Arabidopsis thaliana: one gene and its partner. The main gene of each other region encodes a partner of the protein of the gene in region 2 in a complex. Each region holds a gene or a part of one and is shown on either strand. Other genes may lie near its edges.

Region 1 (3,964 bases), on a different chromosome or scaffold from region 2:
AGCCTCATGAGCCTGTGCAAGACTCTCCTTGGTCGATTCCATCTCAGTCTTCAAAGACTCAATATCAAAATCCTGAACAGAACTATCGTCTTCGTCTTCCTCGCTGGAATCTTGGCTATTGTAAGATGTATCTATCTTCTCTTTTAATGAAGCAATCTCTACCTTTGACTCTTCTACCAAAGCTTTGGTTTCCTCTAACTCTCTCGATTGATCTTTAAACGAATCAAGCAGTTTCTTCTCTGCAGCTTCAAGATTCTTGATGAAGATGTCTTTCTTCAATAACTCTTGTTTTAAAGAAACGACTTCGTTTTCTCTGTTCTCAAGGGAAGCTTTCATTTTGTAAAGCTCTGTACCAATATCCGCAACTTTGTTCGATGAATACCTTGGAGAAGCTACATCAATGGACGGTTTCTCATCGACTTCTCCCATAGATGATAGAATGTTTTTTATTCAGCGTTTCCGAGGAATTTTTGGTAATGGCCAATGGGTTTATTAGAAGATTGACTAAGAATATATTTAAGAGGTTGACAAAAAGATCTATTGGTCAAAGAAAGAAAATTTGGTTCAAAGAGGAACTTATTTCCTTATTTTTAGGGTTAGTTTTATCGAGAGCCGTCTATTTTATCGTCTGATATTATTATTTTCTTTGGTCAAAAGTCCAAAATCTGATTCTTTTAAAAGAAAGCATTCAACAAATCCAAAATTATAGAAAAAAATCAGCCATTATTTGAAGAGAAAGCAATGGTGACGAACAAACGAGTTAAGAAAACATAAGAATTTAACAAAAGAGTTAAAAAGAGTTCGCAACACACATAATAATAAGCTTAAAGAACACAACATTCTTAGATTGCAGACTTCTTACTACTCTTACTACTACATACCCAGAGATTTAAAAAACACAGCAATTAAGATCTTGCTTTCATAAAAAACAAAAACTACTTGAACCAAATCTCGGATTCTTGGTTGGCTTAAGCGCGTTCACCTCTGATACGACGAGCGAGCTGAATGTCTTTGGGCATTATGGTCACACGCTTGGCATGAATGGCACAAAGGTTAGTGTCTTCAAAGAGACCAACAAGATATGCTTCTGCAGCTTCCTGGAGAGCTAAGACAGCATGGCTCTGGAAACGCAAATCAGTCTTGAAATCTTGAGCAATCTCACGGACTAGCCTCTGAAATGGCAGTTTCCTGATAAGCAACTCAGTACTCTTCTGGTACTTACGGATTTCACTGAACACCAAAAGATAAGAGGAATGTTAACACACAATGTTACATAATCTCAAAGAATCACATACAAATCGAAGAAGGGACAAACCGGAGAGCAACAGTTCCAGGACGGTAACGATGTGGTTTCTTGACTCCACCAGTAGTTGGTGCAGATTTACGAGCAGCCTGAGGTTAATAAAGAAGGAGATTAACATTCAACTTCACAACACAAGTATTATTTGAAAAAAGAGACAAGAAGGAACAAAACCTTAGTAGCAAGTTGCTTCCTTGGAGCTTTACCTCCGGTGGACTTACGAGCGGTTTGCTTGGTACGAGCCATCTGCGCATTTAACAAGAAATTGAACAGTCAATTGGGGATTTTCATTATCCATAACTAAATTTTGAAGAAATTGGAATACTAAACGTCACCACTTAAAACCCTAATCCAGATGAATCGTTATCGAACCAGATATAACCAAAAGGGGCAAAATTGACTCGAAAACCCTAGTTCTCGATACACGGCTAGGTAATGACAATCGCACACAGACAAATCTGGTTATACAGAACTTCGAAGCAAGAAAAAAACGATGAAGAATGGATCATCCAATAAATCGACTAGACTCAATCTTCACAGGTTTATCGATCCAGCAAACTTAAAAGACGGACCTTTATTTTCAAACTGGAATGGGACAAAACCCGAAACTCTATTGTCGTAAAATCAGATCGCGGAGACAGTAACAGAAAAAACATTAAAAAGTAATGGAAAGACCTAAACCCCTGATCTAATTACAAACAAATCATACCTGTTCTTCGCCTGAGCTGACTTTTGTTTTGTTTTGTTTTTTTGTCTTTCGTAACAAAAGCAGTAATAGGGGATGATTGAAGTAGTGGTTGTGGCCGCAATGTAGTTGAATTATTATTTATAATACTCACGAAAGGGTTATCACGATACGCTCCTTTGTGCTTTCTCACATTCTTTATCCTACGGTTCAAACTATTGTACATTGTGTTTTCTCAACACAGCCCAACGGCCACGATTAGAGATTTTAAGTGTCACACGGATTACCAATTTCGTGAACGTAAAAGTTGTTGATATTGAAAAGAACTTTGAAACAGAAAGCTTATTGATAAACAATAAAACTCAATCATACAATATCGAACAGATACAGATGAAACAAGAGTCAGAAACTTTAACATATTCATATGTTTCAGAGATGAATTCAACAACAAAAGGTGTTCAACATTGCCAAAGAAGAAAGCAATACACACCACAAAACGTAGCTAAGAAGAACACAAGCAAATCATAAACCGACTAGACAAGAAACAGAAAGAAAAGAAAAAAAAAACACCATTGTTTCCAAGTCTCCTACACCCAAAAGCTTTTTAAGCCATTATCTAATTCCAACTATCTATTTAGAAAACCACCCACATTCACATAATCCAACTACTTCCCAATCACAATTAAGCACGTTCTCCTCTGATCCTGCGAGCGAGCTGAATGTCTTTGGGCATTATGGTCACACGCTTGGCATGGATGGCGCAGAGGTTAGTGTCCTCAAAGAGACCCACAAGGTATGCTTCAGCAGCCTCCTGGAGTGCAAGCACAGCATGGCTCTGGAAACGCAAGTCAGTCTGCAATCAAAGAGACAAGATAAGAACACAAGGTTATGACAAAACAAGTAAAAAGTTAAATCCATTTGTAGACTGAATCAGACGAACAGACACATTACCTTGAAATCCTGGGCAATCTCACGAACTAGCCTCTGGAAAGGGAGCTTCCTGATCAGCAACTCGGTACTCTTCTGGTACTTACGAATTTCACTGTCAATCAAGATCAATAAAACAGAGAAACAGAGTTTAATCAATGACGATATCAATAAAGTAAAAACACAATTGAATTTGGGGAAGAAACAGATTGCATACCGTAGTGCAACAGTTCCTGGACGGTAACGATGGGGCTTCTTGACTCCTCCAGTGGTTGGTGCAGACTTACGTGCAGCCTTAAATTAAAACATCCACCAATTAGAACAAATCTAGAAATGTGTTTATCAAGCTACTCAGATCACATGTGAGAGCCCGAGTCTTACCTTTGTAGCAAGCTGCTTCCTAGGAGCCTTTCCTCCAGTAGACTTACGAGCTGTTTGCTTAGTACGAGCCATCTGTTCAACAAATTAACAAGATTTAGATCCATACGTATTCAATTGCCGGAATGTATCGTAAGATCAACACAAAACCAAAGAAAATCCCTAATTGCAATCGCATAATCAAGAAAATCAAAACCCTAATCAACAATCGCCGAATAAGAACAATCTATTTACACATGTGAAAACTATCGAGAATTTCAGAGATTCTAGACAAAGAAACTATCTGGTGATGAAATCTAGCTATACGATTCATCTCTAACCTAAAATCTTTATCCGGAAGATCATTCGGCGAAGAAACAAGATAATGGCCAAGAATAGAAACTAATCTCGCCTAATTTCGTACCACCTATCGAGCGATTCCAGTAGTTTCACGATCACCGAAAAAATATTTCCAGGAAAATCAAAGAGGATCGAAGAATCGTACCTCAGAAAACTCTCTAGCTTCTCCGAATTTCAAACTTGAGCTCCGAATTCGAAAAAGATAATATTGTCAGTCTTCACGCGTGTACGGCTATTGATATTAATTTATAGGCAACGATGGTAAAGCGGATTTATATGATCGGACGGTTTTTATCGATTATCAATGTGTTTCTCAAGTTTTCTAATCGTACGGG
Region 2 (5,194 bases):
TGTCTGCGAAAGCTTGTAGCTAGCAACTGTTACAAATTGGATCAAGCAGCGCAGATTCTCATTCACCGTAACTTGAAGCTAGAGTCAGCAAAACCAGAACACTCTTATTTTCCTGGAAGTGACATACCCACTTGCTTCAATCACCAAGTCATGGGTCCTTCGCTGAATATACAGTTACCTCAGAGTGAATCATCGTCTGACATTCTGGGATTTTCTGCCTGCATCATGATTGGAGTTGATGGACAGTACCCGATGAACAATCTGAAGATACACTGCTCTTGTATATTAAAAGATGCTGATGCTTGTGAGCTGGTTGTTATGGATGAGGTGTGGTATCCTGATCCAAAAGCTTTCACAAACATGTATTTTGGATCAGATCACCTTCTCTTATTCAGCAGAACCTGCACGTCCATGGAAGCTTACAGCGAAGCCCTGTTTGAATTCTCAGTCGAAAACACAGAAGGAGATTCCTTTAGCCCGCTTGGAGAGGTTAAAAAATGTGCGGTACACCTTATATCACTCAAAGACATGATGCAAGAGTTCTCTAATGACTCTGACAAAATTCAGAGTTCTGATTTGGATCTTCCAAAGGCATTTGATGACGCAAGAATTTTGAAAAGAAGAGCATATGAAACTGAGTTCTTGCATAAGGAACAACTAAATCCCAAGAGGATCAAGTTTCTTCCAGTTCCTTTGGCTCGAGAGCGTCATTCCAAATTACATCAGCGAAATGTCATACGAAAGTAAAAAAAATTACTTGGTTTGCTTGTAAACATAATTATTATATATTGATTGATCACATATATTTTGATAACATCAACATATCATGAACTTGATCTTTGAAGAAGCAAGTACAAGAAAACTTCCGCTATAAGAAGCAAAGGTCCAAGTAACAAGATTTACTATGATAGAGATAGAGAGTGAACACAACGAACCCGAGGAGATAAATTACAATCTGAAACCTCCCGGAGACGCGATACAAAATCCAATTGTCGCTACCTCGACTCTACATGTTGCACTGCTAGAATAAAGAAGCCATCTAATCTTTTCTACCTACAAGGGCTGTGTACAAACAAATTCTTACCATTCCGGATGATTTAAGGCGTTCGATTGTACTTGAGATGTTGCTCATAGAATTCAATCAGCTGGTGTGGGAAAAACAAATTAGAAAAGCTAATAAGAAACTTCCAAATGAGTAAGTGCAGAAAAAAAAAGCTATAAAGATAATCTTACGAGATGAGGATTGTGAGCCTTGAGAAATCTGTTGTCCACCAATGCTTCCTTCCCATCAGACCTATGAGAGTAACCAAATAAGTACAATTGTACAAATATGAAATCAAATTACGAGAAATGACCAAAGAGCTAAAGAGACAAACCTCAGCGCTAAAAAGGTCACCAACACTTCCTGGACATTGTCTGATACAGATGCTGTAAAACTCATTGGTTTAAGTATCTTCGTGATGTCCAACTCCTCAATCTTGGTTTTCTGAGACAAATTACAATTTTCCATCACACCAGGATATTCATTCCCCATCCTTGCAATCCTACCAAAAGAGTCTAATGTAGTCAAATCTGGTGTCAGATTCTGATCTGTAGGTGCTGTGTGGTTGTTACTTGTGGATCCATCTTGTTTGAATCTTTTCACAGAACCAGACTTCCTCCGCTTAGCACCTATGAAACGACTGTTCTTATCAAGCTCCTTAGGATAAACCTTGAGAAGGCCATTGGGTCTTACATTATCACCTTCAGAACCAATGCCTCCTCCTTGAGAACATCCTGCACCGTTACTATTGTTGACTGGTCCTCGTAGCTCGTTAAGTGTTGGATCATATTCTTTCTCATTGTCAATCAAACGAACTTGTCGGGCCATCCCAACACTCCCACTGTTGGCTTCAACTTGGTTGGATACATAAGCATTCTTCGCTTCCACATCTCTATTTAATAGACTCGAACCGCTTAGGTCTAGTGGATCAGGAATGTCAGGAAGGCTAGAGTTGTTGAGAGACGTAGAAGAGTCAGATTTCTCAGTAGCATCATGTGATGTAGATGTTAAACGTTGCTTCTTCTTCATCTGAGAATGAGGACCTGCATATTTGCGCTTCCGTTTCCTACCAGGCTTTCCTGGCTTCAAACTTTGAAACATATGAAACAAGAAAGCAAATCCATACATTAAACCAAGAAAATCCATGAAACAATCAATTCAAAAGTATCACAAAACTTTTATATAAGATTCCATTTACTTACCTTCCCTCAAAGGCATCTATAACATCAGCAATAGACTGGAGATTCTCTAAAGGCTCCCATGTGTTGGCAGTTTCAGGCCATCCGCGCCTTTCACAACCGAGTTTATAACTTATGTCAATGGAAAAACATATGTTTAATCAAGAACAACAAACTTAAAAATGAAACCAAGTAAGATTAGAAAAACTCACCATTTAATTAGATACTGAACCTTGCCCTACAAATACAAAAAAAAAAACAGTACCAAAATGCAGAATCAGAATCATTCAATCAATCAAATCCAAGAAGATATCAAACATTAAAGATCATTTTCTTCCTACAACATATAACAACCACAGAATCAAAACTTTGGTTCGTTATAAACTACTCTGTTACGATGATTACTAACTACTAAAGCAGCCACTTTCTCACACCAATGTGTAACCTACGTTTGATACTTATCTTAAACCTAGAAAACCTAAAACCTCAACTAATTATGGTTAACAAAAACAAACCACATTTGCTGAGTGAAGACGAAAAAAGGAGCTTACTTTTCGAACTCTCTTACGACGAATAGCTTCAATTTCATAAAACCCTTCATCAAGCTTTGGCCTTTCCTCTTGCCCACCTTCTCCTTCTCCTTCTTCATCTTCCTCATCACCTCCATCATCTTCATCCTCGTCCTCTTCTTCTTCTTCATCTCCATCCTCCGTAGGCCTATCATCACCAATCTCGCGAAGAATCGACTCTCCACTTCCACCTCCACCTCCCCCTCCGCCGTCGTCACTGCCAAACCCACCGTCTCCACTAATTTTCCGGCTTTCTCCGACTGTTTCCACCGCCGTCTCCGCCTCACCAGCTTCGTTCAACACCTGGGGTTTCTTCTTAACAGCACCACTTGCCCCTTTCATTTCCTGAGTATTCGAGCCTCCCAAACCTGAAGGAGGAGGGTGAATCAAGGTAATCGCGTTCTCTTCTCTTCTTCTCCTTTTTAGAAATCAAGGATTTTGGAGGAAGAAGATGAAGAAAGATTGAAACTTTTTCTCTATTTCTGAGGTTTTTGTTTTTGCAGGAAGAAGACCTGACCTGACCTCAAAGACCAGTTTTTTCACTTTTTTGGATTCTCTTTTTTTTTTTTTTTTTTAATATCACAATAGGAAAAGTTGAATACAGCAAATTCTTAACGTTTATAATCTAATTAGAAGAGATTATTTCTAATTACTAATATGAAAATAATAAATACTACTGAAGAAAATATGTGAAGGTAAATTAAATCGAAAAATATATTAAACTGAAAACATTTTCTTTAAATTAGAAATAAAAGAACATCGTGCTCTTGCTCCTTTTACAAGGAAATCAACTAGGACATTATTACAACTTAAAAAAAAATCAAAGGAGATTGAAAAATCAGAAAATAAGTCTCATAAACTAAGATTCTCACTCCAAGTCTCCAAGTGCACTGCAAAGGCAGACAACTTAGTTGGATCTCCTAACATCATCATCAATAATTTTCAGCAATATCTCATCCAAACCAACAGAAAAGAAAGTCCTTCTCCAAGATAAACTTCATCGAGATTCAGATTCTTTCATTCCAAAGTATAGTTATCTTGATAGTAACTATGTGATTACTGCTCGAGTTTTAGCCTCAACTTTTGGTGGGCTAAAGTTCTATTTTCTTCAGTTTAGTGTGTTTGTTCTATACTTTGTCCAACCAAAACTTGTTTCTTTGTGATTAGTACTTGTACACTAAATGATGCATGTTTTGATCGCTTTGTTAAATTTGAATTGTTACTATAAAATTTGCAGTTCTTTTTTTGTTTAAACGTTAGAAAAATAATAATTACTATTATTATTTAAAATGGTGATATGAAAGAAGTAAAAAGGAAGAAAAAAAACATTCATTAGGATCGGTTCATAAATAGGGGGAAAAATGGAACGTTTTGACTTCAACATAAATAAATGAGTATTTTATTTGATGGTGAGCTTATGAAAGTTTGTAACGTTTCCTCGAAATATATATGAGAATATTTTTTTTGTAAAAATTCACGATTACAAGCACTCAAACAAATGGAATTTTTTTCCCCACACACAAAATATACATCCATTAAAAAATCAAGAAAGAAGTTAAAATTTCAAACCTCCCACAATTTTTTTTTTGTTTAGAAAGAGTATATCCGAAGAACAAGAGAACAACCTTTTTCTCTGATAAAAGAAAAAGTTCATCCTTCTTAACCTTTTTCAAAGTTATGAGAGTTGCATTAACCTAATAATGCAATCTCAACACCGATACTTCATTCTTAGGGAATGCAAAACACAACCACAATACAACATAAATTATTCTTTCTTTTTTTATAAAGAATTTCTTAAAAGATTTCTTTAAATTAACTTAGTTGTATGTTCACTTTCTCTCTTCATCTCTTGTGGAGATAGTAGTCGATTGTACAGCAGGTAAATTTAGAGTCCACGTTTTCATACGCTCGTTTGTCTTCTTAACCTGTAATTAGATAAAATTATACATTTAATATGACGAATTTTCTAATAAAAATTTTGAGTTATATATTAAAAGTAAATTACCTCCAATTCCCAGTCAGTTTTGTAAATAACATAACACAATATCAACGTTTGGATACCAACTCCAGCCAACATTCCGGACCAGAGTCCCTGCATACAATATCATTTATTCAAGTTAAAATTCTAAAAGTTCTAATGATTGATCATAATGAAGTACTGGATACCAGTTTTCATATATATGATGTACCTTAATCCCAAAATTGAAAACGTAAACAAGGAGGACACCTAAAGGAACACCAATTGCATAATAAGATGCTAAGTTCACTAATGCTACCATACTCTGCATCCCTGCTCCAATTGCTACCCCTGTTTATATATGTTCAAACAAATTTAGTGGTTACAAATTAGTGAAATCTAAAAGTTTATGTTATAATTTATTTATGTCTAATATAAGGGTTTTATT

Evidence for each region.
Region 1: the proteins of TFL2 (region 2) and AT4G40030 are in contact, whole or in part, in a crystal structure (PDB 8XAG), measured with the Arabidopsis thaliana proteins. Residues at the interface, in NP_197271.1 of Arabidopsis thaliana: Lys102, Leu103, Asp104, Glu105, Gly106, Phe107, Tyr108, Ile110, Trp129, Trp132, Ala136, Thr138, Trp139, Glu140, Asn144, Leu145; in NP_001078517.1 of Arabidopsis thaliana: Ala26, Arg27, Lys28, Ser29, Ala30.

Annotation. Positions count from the first base shown.
Region 1 is NC_003075.7:18,554,872-18,558,835, forward strand, and holds AT4G40030 (Histone superfamily protein), read right to left. Parts: upstream 2,034-3,964; 5' UTR 1,957-2,033; coding exon 1,873-1,956; exon of another isoform or gene 1,631-1,872; intron 1,547-1,630; coding exon 1,475-1,546; intron 1,393-1,474; coding exon 1,316-1,392; intron 1,231-1,315; coding exon 969-1,230; 3' UTR 747-968; downstream 1-746. Other genes in the region: AT4G40020 (Myosin heavy chain-related protein), read right to left, coding at 1-429; AT4G40040 (Histone superfamily protein), read right to left, coding at 2,668-2,838, 2,937-3,027, 3,130-3,206, 3,294-3,365. UniProt on the Arabidopsis thaliana protein: Variant histone H3 which replaces conventional H3 in a wide range of nucleosomes in active genes. Constitutes the predominant form of histone H3 in non-dividing cells and is incorporated into chromatin independently of DNA synthesis.
Region 2 is NC_003076.8:5,826,407-5,831,600, forward strand, and holds TFL2 (uncharacterized protein), read right to left. Parts: upstream 3,355-5,194; 5' UTR 3,132-3,354; coding exon 2,772-3,131; intron 2,459-2,771; coding exon 2,433-2,458; intron 2,353-2,432; coding exon 2,245-2,352; intron 2,133-2,244; coding exon 1,377-2,132; intron 1,295-1,376; coding exon 1,234-1,294; coding exon of another isoform or gene 1,216-1,233; exon of another isoform or gene 1,146-1,215; coding exon 1,098-1,145; 3' UTR 765-1,097; downstream 1-764. Other genes in the region: AT5G17680 (disease resistance protein (TIR-NBS-LRR class)), read left to right, coding at 1-747; AT5G17700 (MATE efflux family protein), read right to left, coding at 4,619-4,714, 4,795-4,881, 4,979-5,097.